2 linked regions of the Lonchura striata genome follow. The protein of the gene in region 1 purifies or fractionates together with the protein of each later gene. This does not show direct contact. Links are inferred from orthologs where the notes say so. Each region holds a gene or a part of one and is shown on either strand. Other genes may lie near its edges.

Region 1 (9,470 bases):
ATTCCATCACAGCAATAGAAAACTTAGTATTTTTACCATCTCACCACTGAGGTCTCAGGCCCACAGTAACACTCCACATAAGCCAATGCATCAAATGCATAAAATGCAGAGTAACTCGACTTGCATTTAGGTGCCAAACATTCAAGGGCTACCCTCACATTTCATACATGTATAAACATCTACACACCTACATATAGCTAAATAAATAGCTAAGGTAGAACTAGCTACAGAAATATCACCAGCCAGATAGATGAGCTATTTCCAGCTAGCTCAGCTAAGGCAAAGGGGAGAAAAACAGGACTATTTTCTGCTTTTCAACAGGTTGGCGCACTCCCCTTCCCAGCGCTGCTGGAAAGCTGACTCCCCAGCCAGGCAAGCGACCTTCGGCATCATCGGCGGGTGTATGAGCTAGACAAAGAGATAACGTCATGGCCTCTGCGCTCCCTGCGTGTCCTCCCGCAGTGGCAGGTAGCCAGCCAATCCCGCTCCCGGGTGACATCATCGCTGATGCCTCTACACGAATGTGGAAGTACATCAAACTACATCTCGGAGCTCGGCTCCTCAAAAGCAACCTACACCCCACCCCCCAGCCCCTTGGGATGACAGACCGCTAACAAGGGAAATAAAACCATCCAGGAAGAGAGATTTCAAGAAGTGGTTGCTGGGTACAAGTAAAGCAGAAGGCAACAAGCAAACATGGCATAAACACGTTTTTCCCTTGGTTATGCAGTTCCCATGAAAGCCCTCAAAACATACACATACAGTCTCATCGTTGGGCATCCCTGGAGCATTTTTCCTAGCAAAAAAAGTGCCCAAGAAAAGGTTTGGGATTTTTGTTTTGTTTTGTTTTTTGCAACAACTTTTGCAACAACTGATTTTTAATTTTTTTTTTACATAATTTCATTACTTAAAAAAAAAAAATGCTTATCACAGAAAGAAAGTTTTTTTGTTTGGTATTATTTGTTTACATACAGCCCTGTTAGGTGTCCACATTATCAGTGTATGTACACAAATGTAGACAAATACCTAAGAAGAAGCAGTGCCAACCCAAACTTAAACACCTGTCAATCCATTACTGTCCAGCAGGTTCTATAGCAAGAAAAAAGGTTGCCTGTTGCTCCCCATTATCACAGTGACACTGATGACATCAGGTGTTCAACTCTTCCAAGACAATAAATGCATGTGCCCAGTTTCATTTCTAATACTAACTATTCTGGAAGAGCTCTACCTTACCTAAAGAAAACTAAGTTTAACATTTCTATTGTCAAGACTGTTAAACTAAGGAGAACTTTGCTCATTATTCAAAAGCATTAACAAGTACACTGAGAAACAATACACTAAATTGCAATAATTAACAGGAGAGTTTCAACTCACACATTCACACCCCATTATTTTTCTTTTTTTTTAATAAGGGTTCAGATGATGCAAGCTCTGGGAGCAAAGGATTACAGAAAAAAGTTGTGTCCTTTCAAATGGCATAAAAAAATTAAATAGTCGAGGTTGTGTCAAAGCTTTTACTTATCTTCCCCGTCTCCTGTGGCCCTTTGAGCCACATTCTTTTTCCCACCTTTGTACCAACAGCAGCAGTCTGGCTATTCCAGCTCAAGTCTTAAAAAGCAACTAATACACTGCACAGGCAGACCAATTCTCCATCAGGAAGGCTGAGGTTCACGCCCTCAAAACAAACTGACATGTGTTTCATTTGCAGAAGAGGCAGCAAAGCACTTTATTTACTGGAGCATTAGTTACCGGAGCTGCAAGCAGCAGTATCTTGCCATCAGGGAAACGCGGACCAATTACAGTCCCTTGTTTATAAGCAAAAAGAAAAACAACAACAACAACAAAAAAACAACCAAAAAACAAACAAGCAACTAAGCATCTTCATCTCTCCTTCTCTCTCCAAATGCATCTTGCATTTCTACAGTTTAAGGCTAGAGCCTTCAATCTTTAGCCAAGTATTAAGTCTGTGCAAATAATTAGTCCTCCTGGTAGCTAGCACTCACTGCAAAATCATGCAAGCTCAAGATTTGTTTGTTCCACTGACTGCACACTAAAGGGTAAAAAAAGAAAAAAAGAAAAAAGTAGGCTAGTTTCACACCCACATGGGCACTCTCTGATTTCTATTTTTTAAAGTCATACACTTGTCAAACAGGTTATTCTGGGAATTCTGATTTCCACAAAATAAACTTCTCTGCTTTGGTCACTTATTATTGTCACTCTGCACCCCTCATCTCTGCACAGCCCATCAGATGCACACACCCCCAACTCCAGAGCTTCAACACTCACAAGGAAACCGGGTGACAGTTTTAATTATGGCAAATGTCTTTGTCTAAAGTCACTGCAGCAGCAGCAACTTCTATAAGGATTTCCAGCAGCAAAGCTGAATAAGCCTGTGGACGTGTTTGTATAACCGAGCCAGACTCTGACAGCGTCCACTTGGTTTGGTCATTTCTCTGAAAGGAGCACAGAGAAGAATAAGGACAATAAAGGCGTATTTCATCATTACAGGATGGGTACTTGGGAGAGTAATTTGTACCCGTCTAAAAAAGCAGAAGCCAAGAGGCTGACAAACTTGACAAGGCCAGCAACAATGACAAGGGCAACACTTCTACCACCCCTCACTGTTCCGGTTGCCAGTGCGGGTGGCTCGCCTTCAGCCGTGTGCTCAGCCCGGCGCAGACACCGGGTACCCTCTGGAAGATCGGCAACAATAAAAGGAGAAGAAATTCTGACACAAACCTTGTAGACTTGCCCGTACGTGCCATTGCCAACCACTTCCACCAGTTCAAAAATCCCAGCGGGGTCCTAGGGGGAGGAAGGGGCAGAAGGGGCGGGGGAGGAAAGGGGAGAAGAGAAGTGGGGTTACATTTTTGTTCAGGCGATGGCTGCTGGCAGAGCCCAGCCAGCGAACCCGGCTGCTGGCGGCGTGCAGCTGTTGCGCCCTGTTTTTCCACGCACATGCCAATACATGCAAACAAAGGAAAAGCAGCCCAGGGCCGCGGTCCCCCGCCCGCCCCCGCGGGAGGGCTCCCCCCATGCGGCCGCGGCCCCCGCGCCCGGCACCGGCCCCGGGCCCGGCCGCTCCCACCCCACCGGCCGCGCAGCCCCGGCAAGGGGCGCGCCGACCCCGGGGGGCCCCCGCCCCGGCCCCCGGCACCGGCACTCACCCGCAGGGAGGAAAGGTCGATATCCACCAGACTTTTTGCAGGAGAATCGTTCGCCATTTTCCCGTCTCTTCTTTTTTTTTTTTTTTTTTCTTTAAATATTTTTTTCTTCTCTGTTAAATAATAGCGAGGCCGCTCCCCCCTCCCTGGAGGAGCTGTGAATTGCGCGGAGCTCCGCTCCTCTCCTCCCTTCCGCCCTTCTTCACTCCAGCCCCGCTGGGTTGAAACTCTTCAGCATTGGGAGGGGTTGGCGGGGGGGGGGATGATGGATAGATAGATGGATGGTGGGAGGAGGAGGGAAAGGGAGGTGAAGGAAGGGAAGGAAGAAGGAGAAGGGGTGCTGCGGTTTGTCCGTCCGTCCGTCTCCCCGCGCTGCAGTGCGGGGCTGGATCCCCCCGAGGATCCCGGCCGGCCGGTCGGTGGCTGGGCGGGTGAGTCGGTGGGTGCCCGCGCGTCCCCGGCGGCAGCGGGCTCACACCATGTCGCGGCGGCGGCGGCAGGAGCGGCGCCGGTGCCGGCAGCCTCTGGCAGCCTCACGATGCGCCCCGCTCCCTGGCATGGCACGGCACGGCTCGGCCCGGCCGGCGGCGCTCACGCCGGGAGCCGGCAGTGGCAGCCGCGGCCCCGCTCTCGCATGGGGGGGCGGCTCACGCCCAGCGCCGCGGCGGAGCCCCCGCCGCCTCCGAGCCCTCCCCGCGGCGCTGCCCTCGCATCAAACGGCGCCGGGCACCGGCGGGCAGCGGCTGCGCGTCCCGGCGGCGGCGGGGCAGGGGCGCGGGGCTGGAGCGGGGTGCTGCGAGCCAGACAAAGATAGCCGGGGAGGAGGAGGAGGAGGAGGAGAAGGAGGAGGAGAAAAAATATACTGCGAGCGGAGAGAGAGAGAGAGAAGAGAACAGCTCCCCCTTCCCTTCTCCAACAGGAAAAACCGGCGGAAACGCGCCCGCACCAGAGCACTGCTGGGTAAACTCGCGGGGAGAGAGAAAGAGAGAGGGAGGGAGCCAGCGGGCGGGGAGGGAACCGGCCGCGCAGCCTGCCCGCCCCGCCGCCCACAATAGCCCCGCGGGGCGGGGGCGACCCCGGGCGGCCCTTCCCCGCCGCACCGGCGCTGGGCCCCGCCCGCGGGAGCCCCACGCGTGCCCGGGCCCGGGGCAAGGACGGAGCCCTGCAGCCCCCGCCGCGCCTCTGCGGGACAGCGCGCTCCGTGGGGGCCTGTCACGGCTCGTATGCACCGTGTGGTGGGGATATTTTCCCATCCCCGGTGAGATGACCAGCAAAATGTCACAGTTCCCCCCTGCCTCGAGATCCCAGGCCCACAGGAAAAAAAACATTATGTCTCATGAAGAGATTTCTACAGAAAGACGGCCAAATCCTGGCCCACAGAACCAGACCCATCTCTCATATTTTAACACATCGTTTACTGACAGAGCTGTCTCAGGCCCCCTTCCCGCCCAGAAGAATCCTCTAGCAGAATTTGAATCGTGGAAAAATCTCATTAACCTCACTTGAGCAAGACACATCAGGCAGTTTGACACAAGTGTAAACCTTGGCAGGATTTGTTTCTCATTGAAGTTTTTTATCACACTGATATGGCAAAAGTGTTACCTGCTTGCAAGAGGTCGAGTTTCCTGTGGGAATCGGGGTTTTCCTGTCTTCTAATTTAACCACAAAATTACATATACATAGCTATAAGTATTACAGAAACATACTTTTGAAACAAAGCAAACCTGTTGAGCAGAAAGTTTAAGGATAAATTACCATAACAGTTTAATGGCATACTTCATTTTCACTTTAAGTGTAGATACAAAGAAAGGAAACTTCAGCCTAGACCAGGAAACTTCATTCTCTGTACAGGAACCTATAGTTAGGAAAAGGCAAGTAATTTCAAATGTATTTGATGCTGTGTCTGCCCAAGTGCATGCACAGGAGTAAGATCAAGTCTAGAGATGCAGTAGGTTTTGAAAAGTGTATTTCTACAAAGATTTATTATCATTGGTCTGGTTTGCATTACATGGTAACTCAGCCTTTTTATGTGTAAGGGAAACCTTGGTAGGTCAGATCCATTTCCTGTCTGTCCCAGCATCCATCTCCAGATTTAGCCAGTAGTAGACACTGAGAGAAGATCACAGGGATACTTTAACCATCCAGTAATACTTCCCTGGCTTATTTTACCAACTCTCTACAGCTCAAGGAGCTCTTTAGCAGCATTTGGTGTCCCTGCATTTTGTTTTTTTTAATTGTGTTTTCCTTCCATTAGATTGGCTGTTTACTTTCTGGATTCATACATGCTTGTGGCTCTCGCAGTGTCCTTTGGCAGGGAGTTCCAAAGGTGAGCTAACATGTTGTGTGGAGAGCACCTTTTGCTAAACTAAAAAAAAAATATCCTGCTGGTTCTTGTTTTGGAAGAGACACCAATCGTTTCCTATTCATTTTCTTTATTATGTTCATTTTTTAGACTTCTGGTGTGTTTTCCCCTTGGTTTTTGCCAGCTAGTAAGTTCTGGTCTTTTTAGTGATACCACAAATGGAACTCATTCTATATTTGTCCTTCATTGAACCATTTCTAATACCTTCCTTTTTGACATGGGTAAACAGATTTCCATCTCATGTTCATGCTGGCTTCCCCGTGCAGCATCATTGTGATGTCCTCGTTTCTAATCCGCTCCTGATCCTTCCCTTCTTCACTGTTGGGTATGAATATGACATTCCTGTGGCACATGCCTATTATAACTCCAGGATCCCCTTCTGTAATGTTAATACCACCTCAGAGACTGTTGTTGTGCATTTCTGAATGCTGAAAGATTTTCAGGCCCAAATTCTGAATTCTGAGTTTTCCAAACCCAGGACGTAACAACTTCCTTGTGCCTCTGAAAAGTACAGGCCAGGATTTTAGAGATGAGGATCTGAGCCCATATACACATTTTCACCATTCATATTTTCACCAACAGATGTCATTTCACCAGACCTCTGATGTGGCTCCACCACAGTGTTCCCTCTCTGCTTTAAGTTTTTATTTTATTAGAGTGAGTTCAGTTCTTTGGCATGTTTTTGTATTACACTAAAGACTGCTAAAGTGCTAGCAACAAGATTGTGAATTCTTGAAAAGTAAGCCATCCTCTATCTTTAGGGGAAAAAATAGTTTTCATAAAGCAGTAAATGCTTTATGAAGAGAGCTTCCTGCTAGTTCCCAGAGTGAAGCACCACGATGCCTCAGCTTCCTTTTTCTTCTACTCAAGTGAAGGGATGAAAAGCTTGCTTTTTTGAGGAAGAAGCCTCTTCAGCTGTGGCCAAAACCACTCTCTTCACATGTTCATCATGCTCTTCACCAGCTCAGTGTACATAACCAGTTTGAAAGTCCAAAGGTTGAAAGACCAAACCTAAAACCACTGGAAAGAAGAAGAGCAATCTGTTTTAACTCTTCCTCATAGTGAAACCAGCAATGCTGAAGTGAGACAGAGTGAGACAGCCATCAAAAATCATAACGAAGACTAAATGCAAGGAAATGCATTTTCAACCCTGTGGATCGTCTCCCCACAGAGCACACATGGTTTTTCTAATGACAAACTTCAGAAGATTTATCAAAATATCTGAGTCCACTGGGGAGCAAAGCAGGAGAAAGCTGGGACCTGTGTGCTGCTTTCCATCACCCTCAGACACAGTTGCACCCATTCCTGCTCAAAGTGCTCATAGCAGTGAAGGGAACAGAGGAGTTGAAGCTCCCTGAGCAGTTTCAGTATCCCTGAAAGAGGGGTCCTGAGCTTCCCTTTCTCTGACCATTTATTCCTATTGAATGGTACCCTTGTGTGGATATGAGCATTCCTACAGCTACATAGTGAGCCAGGACTCATAGCAAAGCTAACCCACAAAAGGAAAATAACTTCTAATGTTATTATTGATCAATTCCTTGGGCTGGTTCATCACGTGTCTCCTTGAGCTGATGTGTTAACAAAAGGGAAACCGAGGGGTCAGAAACTAAGTGGAGGGCAGGAACTGTGACCACAGCATTGCCTCTTGGTTGCGGCTGTGGCTTAAGCCAATTTCAACTCTCAGTGGACCCATAGGGGTAAAACTAGAGAAACTTCCTTCCTTACTGGAAGAGACACTGTGGGAGTGATGGGAACTCAACATTTATGTTGTAGCCACAAAAGAAATTCCTTGCCCTCTATTTTTTTTCAAGTTATTTGAAATTGTCTTTGTTCTATAATTTTCCACTTCTAATATGCCAGGGCTCTAATCACTGACCAGAGATGCAGAGGTCATCAACTGCACTAACTTTTTATGAGCTTAATCATCAACAGTATTCAAGAAGATGAGTAAAGAGACAGGAAGTTCTGAATTTTCATTTTGTTCTACTACTGATTCATCCTATAGCCTTGGGGCATCTCATTTCCTGCTTCCACTCTCGTTCTCTATGTGGAAAATGGGAGTGATTTTGACCTCCTTTATAGTGTGAAGTATTAGACATGTACCCTGTCATACTCTGGGGAAATTGTTCTCTCCTTGGCTGAAACAATCCCTGAGGGAGGCTCAAGCTAGGGTGATAAGTAACAGAGGACAGGGTAGTGAGTGGGGCTGAGTCAGGCTTTGCATAGTCCAGCTCTCCTGCTGCACATGGAGCAGAAGGAGGCTGGGAGACTTTTCCTCATGCTATTTATTGCAACACATACTGGGAGTAGATCAGTTACAAAAGGATGCCATACAATCAGCCTCCCTCTAGCTTAGGCTCCTCTCCTCCTCTGCTGTTTCCACCACCCCTATCTCACACCTCCATGTGAAAGCTGCTCTGTGTGATCTCTGCAGGCACACCCAGGTTTTCTCATGCTGCATCTTTACAATGTCATATGGGGTGGACATGTTCCTGCAGCTCTGATTGCCCAGTTGCGCACACACTGCTGCTGGTGACATCCTGCTGCTTCCCGCTCCTCAGGATGCTGCACTGCCTCCCACACTGATGGGTTTCCCTCATTCCAGCATGCAGGAATCAGGCTCAGGCACATAGCCGGGCCCAAGCTTGGGGATGCACATGTAGATGATGATGTAGGTGACATGAAGATGCACAGGGCCAGAAAGGAGCAGCTTTCCACCAGCTGTACTCTTTGAGGCCATCACTGCCCACACCCTGGCTGGCTTCCTCTGTTAGCATTTTGGGGACTGGATTGAAAGGACTCCTGAAATACAGGGGATGTCTAAATATAGCAATCCTGCTAGTGCAGGAAGAGTGGCAAAGTGAGTCAGAGCCTTTCCACAGCTGCTCGGTACCATGCAGGGAGGCACAGTGCAGTCAGCACTGTCAGCACTTTGGAGGTGCCCACCTTTCTCCATCCCCTGCCAGGCTTCACATCTGTGCTGTTTTTTCAGCTGTGCTGGTATGGCTTCTCTGTATTGTGGTTTGGTAGCTAGACTGATCTTAGCAAAAAGGAATACACCATTTTTATTTTTTTGCAAGTTTTGCTTTACCTCCCATTAATGCCCTGCTTTAAATGAGTGGTAGGCAATTTGGTGAGAGTGAGAATTTCTCACGTTGTTATTGCATAGAGATCTAGGTACCACAAAACCATGTCCTGAAAATAATTTTGGGAAGAATTACCTCAAATGGCACTGCAGAATAGCCTAAGGGGAAAAGTTAATCTTAGTCCTATAATAATTAATATCACACTTGTGCAGTAGTGGAGCACCCAGCATTTTTTATTTAATCCAGATTACAAATGAGCATATGCAAATTTTCATATGAAAATAACATAATACAATTTTTATGCCATTTGTTTATGCTGGTTGTGATGAAGTAAGATGGTACCTGGTCCATTTAAAGTCATAGGCCATGAGAAGCAGATGGCTGAAATGGTATGAAGTTTGCTGGGACAACATGCTTCCAGAGAAATCTGAACAAATCTAAACCAGCAGAGTGAAGTTCAGAAATTTGCATCACCTAGCTGGGGTATTTTGAATCTGACTCTGAACATGCTCACATAGGATTTGCATCCATGGAGCCATAGTCTCTGTGAGGAGACTGCTTCTGCACAGAAGAAAGAGTGATTTCATGTTGCCACACTGTTTTCATTGACACCACATCCCTGACTGATCTACTCAGACTGAACTCACAGTACAGTCCAGAATCTTGTACTTCATATCAGACTGTTGTCAGTCCTGCAGCTGGACTTAAACCAGGCAATGATGCAAAAACCTGGCATAAAAAATACTGTTGCATGCTTGGGCTAGTTGAGAAGATCCCATGTGTATTTCTGTACACTGCCCGTGTTCTAGGGTTTTAACAAGCTCGCTGTTTCTGAGTCTGCTATCTGTCACACAAAGC
Region 2 (8,959 bases), on another chromosome or scaffold:
CAAAGAGAAGCTTTGAGACTTCACTCTGACCTTGCACTCCAGATTAAAGAGGATACATGGTCCAAAGCTTCCAGTAATAACCTATTTTCCCTGTTGTCACTCAGGCACAAAAAGCTCCTTTGAGTTAAGCAAGTTACTAATGTGGCAGTGGGAGTCTGAGCCTGCAGCAGTGCAGCTGTCAGGAGGGGCAGTTCCTTCCCCTGAGTTTCCACATCATCCCTCATTCCTGCACTTGCTCTCGGAGTTGTTTGCAAAGGTCCAACAGACAACTGGAGGTCTGAGGGAGCAGCTGGCTCCACACAGAGCACACCAACCCTGCTTTGCAGTCACATGGATTCGAGCCAGAGGTGAAACAAGACCTGCAACAGCTACAGGGGAAACAGGAGTGGGAATGCACATTGGGGAGGGACAGACCTATGCACACAGGTGATGAAAAAAAGACCACACATGTGAAAGGCCAAAGGCAGCTGTCCTGGAGGGGAAAAAAATAAAAATCAAAGCAACACCTGACACAGGGGAAACTTTACAGAGGGCCCTCTGAACGCTGGACTCTCATCACACCTCTTTTGAGTCACTGGAAAAGGAGAGCTGTGCATGGGAAGCCATTTTACAGTGTGTTCTCTGCTCTGGAGATTTGAGATGAAGAACACTTTGTGCATGCCCTTGACTGTTGCATGTGGGCTTTGAGCCACTTCTCACCACTCAGGGTGGTTCTCTTGCAAAAGAAACTTATTCCACTGATAAGGCAGAAGGGTACTATCAGTTTCTGTGCTACAGAACTTTATATCTTTTAAACAAGCTCAAAGTCTTCTCAGTAAAACTACTGGGAAACTTGGTCACAATAATCCCATTGAACTCCAAGGTAACTCCCATTACTGGAAAATAACTGAGATACCAGCTACAAGAATAAACCCACTGCAACATCACAAAGCACTTATGCAGAATAACACAGCATCAAATACAGCACTGACAGTCAAAATAGGTGCAGATGAGATCACTCATTTTGTGTCATTGTAAAATTACTGCAAGCAAATGCAGCTTTCCCTGACTAACCCTACTGAGGTAACGCAAGAAGTCCATTTGACTCAATCATGTGCACAATCTCCCATCTTTTGGAGGGAGGCTGCCTCATTTTACACTCCCTGTCCCTTTATCTCTTACTGAAACACCATGTTTAGGCACCTCAGTTAGTTATGTTCCACCAACCTGCTCTGTATGGCCATGGTTGAGGTTTTTCTTAATATCTCTCACTGGACGATGCAAGTTGTACAACACTGATCTTGCTTTTCAGGCAGGGAGGCATAGTTCATTTGCCTGACGATCTCAGCAAACAGTTCATCCACCATTGTTTTGCTCTTGGCTGACGTCTCCATGAAGGGACAGCCCCACTCCTGAGCCAGGGCTCTGCCTTCTGCAGATAGGACTTCCCTCTCCGACTCCAGATCCACTTTATTCCCCACCAGGATCAGAGGAACTTTCTCGTATCTCTTCACCCGGACAATCTGGTCCCTCATCGGCTTGATATCCTGGTCAAACAATCCAGCTGGTTAGTGCATGCAAGGAATCACATGGAATTGCTACAGAACCACTGTAGGAACACATTTTAGTAACCCTCACGTGCAACTGGACATTAAAAATACACCAGAAGACTTTTTAAACTCACAGTCACGCAGATCTAGAATTCTGAGAAAATTTAACACCTATCACTAAACTACTTCTTCTTTCATATAAAAGCATGCACACTTTAAAGAATTTATGTGCATAAACCAACAGAAAGTGACTGCTGTGCTCTCAGCCAGAGGAGGACACGGTACTGCTGCTCTGAAGGCTGGTTTCACCTTTCTGAAGAAGTTGTCTCAAGTCTAACGACCTGTAACCCTAGCAGGGGCGTGCCATTACACAACCATTTAGGAAGTTTGTGCTTAGTTTACAGCTTGAGAAAACCATCAATTTAAATAAAGCCTTCTCAGTCCTGGAATGCTTAGAATAATTCATTGTGAACACATTTAATCACATGTAAGTAACCAAATTAGATGCTGTAAAGAGATTTTATTACCTAGAGATGCATTTATTCAAGTCTGAGCCGACACGGGGCGTTTACACTTGAAAGTCTGAGTCAGCCTCCTCTGCCCCCTGAGTGTTTTAAGTTGCTATCGGTACTACAAATTCTTGCATAGTTCTGAGACAAAGCAATCCCAGCGTTTGAAGTTACCACCGTGCAAAGAACTGCAGAGAGGTTTACACCTACAGCCTTCAGAGCAAACACTACAGACAGACGGGAATAATTAAATATTAACAAGATTACTGCACATGCATTTCTCAAATAATGAGGGCTCGCTGGAACCCAAAAATCAGTGAAAATGAGAGCAGAAGCATCCCAATGTCAGTGCTGTTGTTTTCTAGAGATAAGCGTGTCTTCAGCTCGCACAGGGTTGTTTCGAGGCCTCTGCTGAGATAAGGTTTAGCCTTCAGCAGAAGCAAACAGTGGGGGTGTGGAAGGTCTTGCCAAGCAGCTGGAACACACCCAGCTCAGCAGCCCAAGCCAAGGCAGGAGCTGCAAATTCCCAAGCTGCACGGAGTGCTGCTAAACTCACTTACTGCCCAAAAACAAAGCCCCGTTTCTACAGGCAGCTTAGACCAATTACTGGCTGAGACAGTTCCTTTTTTTGGAGAGTTTTAATAGTAGAAATCAAATCCAGAACCACAAATTACCGTGTATAGCTAGTTCTGCTCTCCAGTACTCCACCTACGCTGGGAGAGCATCGAGCTCGTGCTGGACAGGAATATATTTTGGGGGCAGGGAGCGGAAAATAGCAGCTCACTTAACAAGTCACAACTGTAGAACAATGAGACTCTCTTCAGGAGCAACTGCAGAAACATGCCTTTTAGGAAGGAGAGGGGGTTGGAAGGGGAAGTCTCAGTTTTAATATCGAGTGATTTCTTCACAAAAGGGGATTGCCAAGAGATTTCTGTTGGGGAAGTGGGAGCTAGGCATTGTTCTCCAGCACTGCGTGGGACTTAACAATGGTGGCACCCTGATAAGTACCTGCAAAGCAAGCAGTTTTCCACCGGGAAGCAGGGCTGGTAAACGCGCTTTCAAGCTGGGCATTTACACTTTCGGCCCTTGGGAGATAAAGCGCTGCCACGCACACGTGGCTACCCCTAAAACTTCCTGCTCGGCCCGGGCAGGGCCGGCTCCGTGCGAGGAGGGGACGCCGGGCTCGGTTACCTGGAAGGACTGCTGGTTGACCAGGCTGTAGACGAGGATGAATCCCTGCCCGTTCTTGATGTAGAGGTCGCGCATGGAGGCGAACTGCTCGGTGCCCGCCGTGTCCAGGATCTCCAGCACCGAGGGCGACGAGTCCACCTCGATCTCCTTGCGGTAGAAGTCCTCGATGGTGGGGTCGTACTTCTCGATGAAGGTCCCGGTGACGAACTGCACCGTCAGGGCGGACTTCCCCACCCCCCCGCTGCCCAGCACCACCACCTTGTACTCCCGCATCGGGCCCCGCTGGCCGCTCCGCGCCGGGCCCGGCCTAGGGCAGGCGGCACCGCGGCCCTCGCATAGCCCCGGCCCGCCTCCCGTGAAGGGCGAGGCCCCGCTGCTCCCGCGCCGTCCCGGGGGCAGCCAGACCCCGTCAGCGCCCGGCGCGGCCCCGGCCCCGCTCGCTGCCTCAGCGCCGCGCTCCCGCCATCGCCGCGGGACCCGCCCGCCCGGAAGGGTTTCGCTGGGACACCGGAGGCCGCCCCGCCCCGCCGCCTGCGCTCACTTCCGGCGTGCTGCGTCACGGCCCGCCCGGACTGCGCCGGGGGACAGGTTTGAGTGTGGCACCGAGGCACCCGCGCTGTGCCGGGGGACAGGTTTGCGTGTGGCACCGAGGCAATGTGCTGTGCTGGGGACAGGTTTGGGTGTGGCACCGAGGCAATGTGCTGTGCTGGGGACAGGTTTGGGTGCAACACCGAGGCAGTGTGCTGTGCTGGGGGACAGGTTTGGGTGTGGCATCGAGGCACCCGCGCTGTGCCGGGGGACAGGTTTGACTGTAGCACCGAGGCACTGTGCTGTGCGGGGGGACAGGTTTGGGTGTGGCACCGTTGTGCAGGGGGACAGTTTTGGATATGGCACCGAGGCACTGTGCTGTGCAGGGGGACAGGTTTGGGTGTGGCACCGGGGCGCTGTCCCTGCCCGCCCCCAAGATGGCGGCGCCAAGATGGCGGCCGCCGTCCCGAACCTGAAGGGCGGCTCTGGGAGCGCCGCGTTGTCCCTCCACGAGCTCCTGCTCGGTACTCGATAACTTGAACAAACTCCTTAACAAACTCCTCTCAGCTTCCCGCGGGGGAGGGGACCCGGGCTGTGGCACCGGCACCGCGGTTCTTCATCCCTGGCAGCCCGCTGGGCTGGTGACAAGAGGGCCACCAAGTCACCAGAGGGATGGAGCTCCTCTGATATGAGGAAAGGTTGGGACTGGGATTGTTCAGCCTGGAGATGAGAAAGCTGCGCGGTGACCTAATTGCCCCTGCCAGTGCCTGAAGGGAATTTACAGGAAAGACAGAGAGGGATGTTTACATGTTCACAAATACATGTCGCGACAGAAAAGGGGGAATGGGTTCAGACTGAGAGAGTGCAAGTTCAGATCAGCTATTGGGAATAAAATCGTCCCTGTCGGGCGGTGCGGCCCTCGCACAGGCTGCCCAGAGGAGCCGCCCCAAGTCCTGCAGTGTCCGAGGCCGGGGTGACACGAGATCCCCTTTAAATCCTTCCCAGCCCAAAGCATTCCTGACTCTGCAGGCTGCTGCCTCCAGGTCACAGCTAGAGGTACGCAAGGTCAGGCAAGATCTGCCCCGTGTCCTTGCACTGGTGCAGCTGGCACAGGGCTCACTGCCCGGCTCTGAAACCCCCAGGGAGGAGCGGCGGAGCTCCCGGCCGGGCTGGGCTCAGGGCAGGGGTCAGTAGTGACAGCAGGGGACAGCAGGTGACAGCAGGGGACAGCAGGGTCAGCAGGGGTCAGCAGGTGACAGCAGATGACACCAGGGGTCAGCAGGTGACAGCAGGTGACAGCAGGGGACAGCAGGGGACAGCAGGGGTCAGCAGGGGTCAGCAGGTGACAGCAGGGTCAGCAGGGACACCAGGGGTCAGCAGGTGACACCAGGGGTCAGCAGGTGACAGCAGGGGACAGCAGGTGACAGCAGGGTCAGCAGGTGACAGCAGGGTCAGCAGGGGACAGCAGGTGACAGCAGGGTCAGCAGGTGACAGCAGATGACACCAGGGGTCAGCAGGTGACAGCAGGGTCAGCAGGTGACAGCAGGGTCAGCAGGGTCAGCAGGTGACAGCAGGGTCAGCAGGGGTCAGCAGGTGACAGCAGGGTCAGCAGGTGACAGCAGGGGTCAGCAGGTGACAGTAGGGTCAGCAGGGACAGCACGGCACCAGCGCCACCTGCCCTGGAACTCCCCTTGGCAGGAGGAACCGACTGAAGGAATCCCCGTCTGTTTTCTCCCTAAAATAAACCCCCCCAGTCACTCCAGACCCACGCGATGATTCCCACCTGTAGGAGCAGCTGCCCTCCAGTACAAACACGTTTGTTCTGCTGCTCCCTGCAGGATTTCAGCAGGCACGTGGTGAAGTGCTGGATTTGTTCCTTTCCCCTTTGCATCACCTGTGTGATTGCCAGTCCAGGGCACACACAGCTGCTGCGTTGTGTCCATCCTGGGTTTCCAGCAGCCATAGAGAGGTGCCTGGTCAAGGCGGCTAAAACCATCCAAAGGTACTGAGGAGGTGACTCTGCTTGTGGCTGTTTTCACAAACAGCTTTATTTTGTTCACTTGCTTTCCATAAAGACAACAGGTCCATTATGGGAAAAGGTCAATGAGGATGAGGACTTTTATCCTCCAGAACAAATCTTACTTATGTTACACCAAATTTGACTCACTCTTCTTTATCAAATATAAGTAAAAAGCCCTTGCCTTCCTTCACCGTTGCCTCCAGAATTGTGTTGTCAAGTGAATTGCTGGCAGGAGGCAGACGTGCCTGGCTGGAAGATTTTCATGTGGCTGGTGAATCAGCTCGAAAATGTAAAAAGGTGAGCATTAAAACAGGCTGCCTCCTACTTTAACCCCATTAGAAATCACGAGTTGTTGCGAAGTACCTTAATGCACTCAGGGTGCTCGGGACAAAGGAAAGCCGCAGTGCTCCCAGAGGAGCTTCCCATCTAATTTTAACCATGACACAATCGGTGACAGTGACAAACGGGGGGGAGGGAGCAAAGGAGCAAGGGAGGGTGAGGGTGACAATAATAGGATTACACGGTCACTTAGGTTCATTATGTGCACGTCTTTGTGGCACTGCTGGTCCATTATGTTTGTGATGGGTGGAGGAATGACTGCGGGAGAGGAAGGGGCAAAGAGCACAGCGGGAGAAAAGCCAAATATATTTTTGTGCAATTGACTTTAGCCAGCAACGCCTCGCTCTTGGGCTGAGGGGAAGAACAAGCAGGTGGACACAGGATTGGGAAAATGGATTTTTTTTCCCTCCTCCGTAAATCAATCCCAGTATTGATTTGGATTGCCAAGATTTATTTCCCAGCTCACAGCACTTTATACCTGGGCATAGATGCCTACAGCTGAAAAAAGGGCCAATCCCAAAGTGCACCAGGCTGTTTGTTACCGTTAAGACAAGTCATTCCCTTCATTAAACAGTTTGCACAGCTCTTTCACCGCCTTGTGCCCTACCACATATCCTGAGCCACAAAAATAGCTGGTGATGTAAAAGGTTTTGAAAGTCTGGATGGGAAGAGCTGCTTCTGCCATAAATGGCCAAGCCCTGAGCCAGCCGTGCAGGGCACCTCCTGCCAGTGCCACCTCTGCCACTCCCTCACTATCACCATCCCCTCCCCGGAGGTGCGGCACATCCCGGGTCAAAGGCCTGATTTAATCTCTGCTGTCACTTTCCCCACGGCTCCTGCCAAGAAGAAAGGAGCAGGGCTCAGCCCTCGGTGCTGCCCCAGGAGGGTTTGCCCTTTCTCAGCAAAACAACCTTCCCAAATGAACATCCGGGCAGGATTCGATTGCTGCCAGAGCAGCTCTGTGCTGTTGATGGACTCAGCTGCTCTATGCTGTGCCCGCAGCCAGCAACAATAAAGCAGGCTCTTATTAAATTAACCTGCTAAGACACAGATCCTGCAGGGATGTTCAGGGAACAGACAGATGGCACAAGCAAGGGCCAGGAATAATTGCAATCCCCATCTCACCAATGGGAGAGATGAATCCTGCCCGGTGCTGTGCCCAACAGGGAGGTGGGACTGGGAGCAGTCACCCCAAGAGGTGACAAAAGAGCCTCTCCAAGCCATGGATGGAGTGAGGAGTCTGGAACGTGTCCTGTGGATGCCAGGGTGGGCCTGCACCACCCCCAGCAGCCAAAGCCTCCCCACTGCAGCCACAGTGTGGGTGCTGTACAGCCACCACCTCCTGTGGGCTGTCCCCGCTGCCATCATCGATCTGCTCTGACTCCCTACGTCTGCCCGAGCTACAAAGCAGGCTCTGCCCTGCCAGGAAGGCTGCAGCAGCTGCTGAGCCAGGGCAGCAGGGATAGCCCAGATTTCACCTCAGTTGCCATCTAGCTGGGGACGTCATTTGTGTAAATACATGCAAAACCAGCTTAAGACCCAGCGTCCTTTCTTCTTTGCCTCTTCCAGAGGTTTTGCTAATCCACTTATTGTGCCTTATGGTGTTCAGCGTGGAAGCTGCAGGGCAGGGACATTCCTCAGGGCTGGAATGGCTACTGGAGCACCGGGGGCTGCTCTCACATGCAGCTCATTCAAGGAGGTCGTCGTGTTACACCAGTCACGGAACTGCAATGACAGCTTTTGATCTAAGCCCTGTCAAATTCCAGTGAAATATGTCTTAGGGGTTGGATGTGTCCACCTGGCCCAGACTCCTCATTCTGGGGCTGTTTCAGAACCTGCAGAGATGCTATTCTTTTTTGCCAGCTTTTCCTGCCAATATAGAGATGACTCAGAGGCAAATCCTGAGGACCTTTCTCAGAAATTTCTGATTTTCTGCCATCCCTCAGCTTTTAGCCATTACTTTAGTCGCAACAAAAGGCATGATGGTACTTCAAAAGAAGTAAAGGACATTTTCCAAAGCACTTACTAATTCTGAAACAGAAGTGGGACTGCACTGAAATATAATTGATACACCAAGAAGATTGTTGGGATTTCTGGGAGAAGCATCTCTCTTTGGCTCACAGACGTGGTACCAGATCACCAGCCATTTAGAAGAGCTTGGAGCCGAACAGCACCACAGGGGAAGATGCTGTCGCTACCCCCAGGCACACGCAGTGGCTGCAGCCCCTCCCCTCCCCACCTGCCCTCTCTCCTGGTTATCCCCGCGATGCTGCCTCTCCTGCCGGCAGGATCAGCTCCGGCCGTGATGAGTCACTGCTCCGTGTGAGCAAGCCACCAGTGGTGAAGGCAGAAATGTGGTTTCACGGGTCATTCCTCTTCCTATTTTCTCCAGACATCGAGCTCTCTCCTCGCTGCCCTTCACAGTCCAAGCCATAATCCTTTCTGCTCTGCGGGGCTCGCACCGAGCTGCAGCTCCGTGGCTCTCCGGGACTGGCCTGTCCTGCACACACCCGGCGTGGTGCCAGCACAGCCCCTCTCCTTGGCTGCCGCCTTGCACAGATTTCTGCAAAGCTGAGCGGGCGGGGCTGTCCTCAGGCTTGCCTTTGTTAAATCACCAACACACGGGACAGCCTCTTCATAGAAATACATATACATACGTATTTTAAATTTCTACCCAACAGTAGAGTAAAACTGAAAATACAGCTCCTTAAGGCTAAAAAAGGCAACAGTGAAACACATAAACCAAACCTGTTGCTTTAAACTCCAAATGAAAAGGAAGGGGGAAGGAAATATTCTGTCAAGATATATTTTTAAGATTTGCACATATAAAGCAATTTTAAACT

Evidence for each region.
Region 2: the proteins of MAP4K4 (region 1) and RAP2C purify together in Homo sapiens (affinity purification with mass spectrometry; 3 studies listed by BioGRID and IntAct, counting the BioPlex papers as one, with this or other methods). This does not show direct contact. The link is inferred for Lonchura striata from reciprocal best matches to the Homo sapiens genes MAP4K4 and RAP2C.

What each region holds. Positions count from the first base shown.
Region 1 is NC_134604.1:87,602,686-87,612,155, reverse strand, and holds the start of MAP4K4 (mitogen-activated protein kinase kinase kinase kinase 4), read right to left. Parts: upstream 3,803-9,470; 5' UTR 3,225-3,802; coding exon 3,168-3,224; intron 2,806-3,167; coding exon 2,740-2,805; intron 1-2,739.
Region 2 is NC_134616.1:7,564,981-7,573,939, reverse strand, and holds the start of RAP2C (ras-related protein Rap-2c), read right to left. Parts: upstream 3,523-8,959; 5' UTR 3,503-3,522; coding exon 3,230-3,502; intron 1,527-3,229; coding exon 1,248-1,526; 3' UTR 1,207-1,247; intron 1-1,206. UniProt on the Homo sapiens protein: Small GTP-binding protein which cycles between a GDP-bound inactive and a GTP-bound active form. May play a role in cytoskeletal rearrangements and regulate cell spreading through activation of the effector TNIK.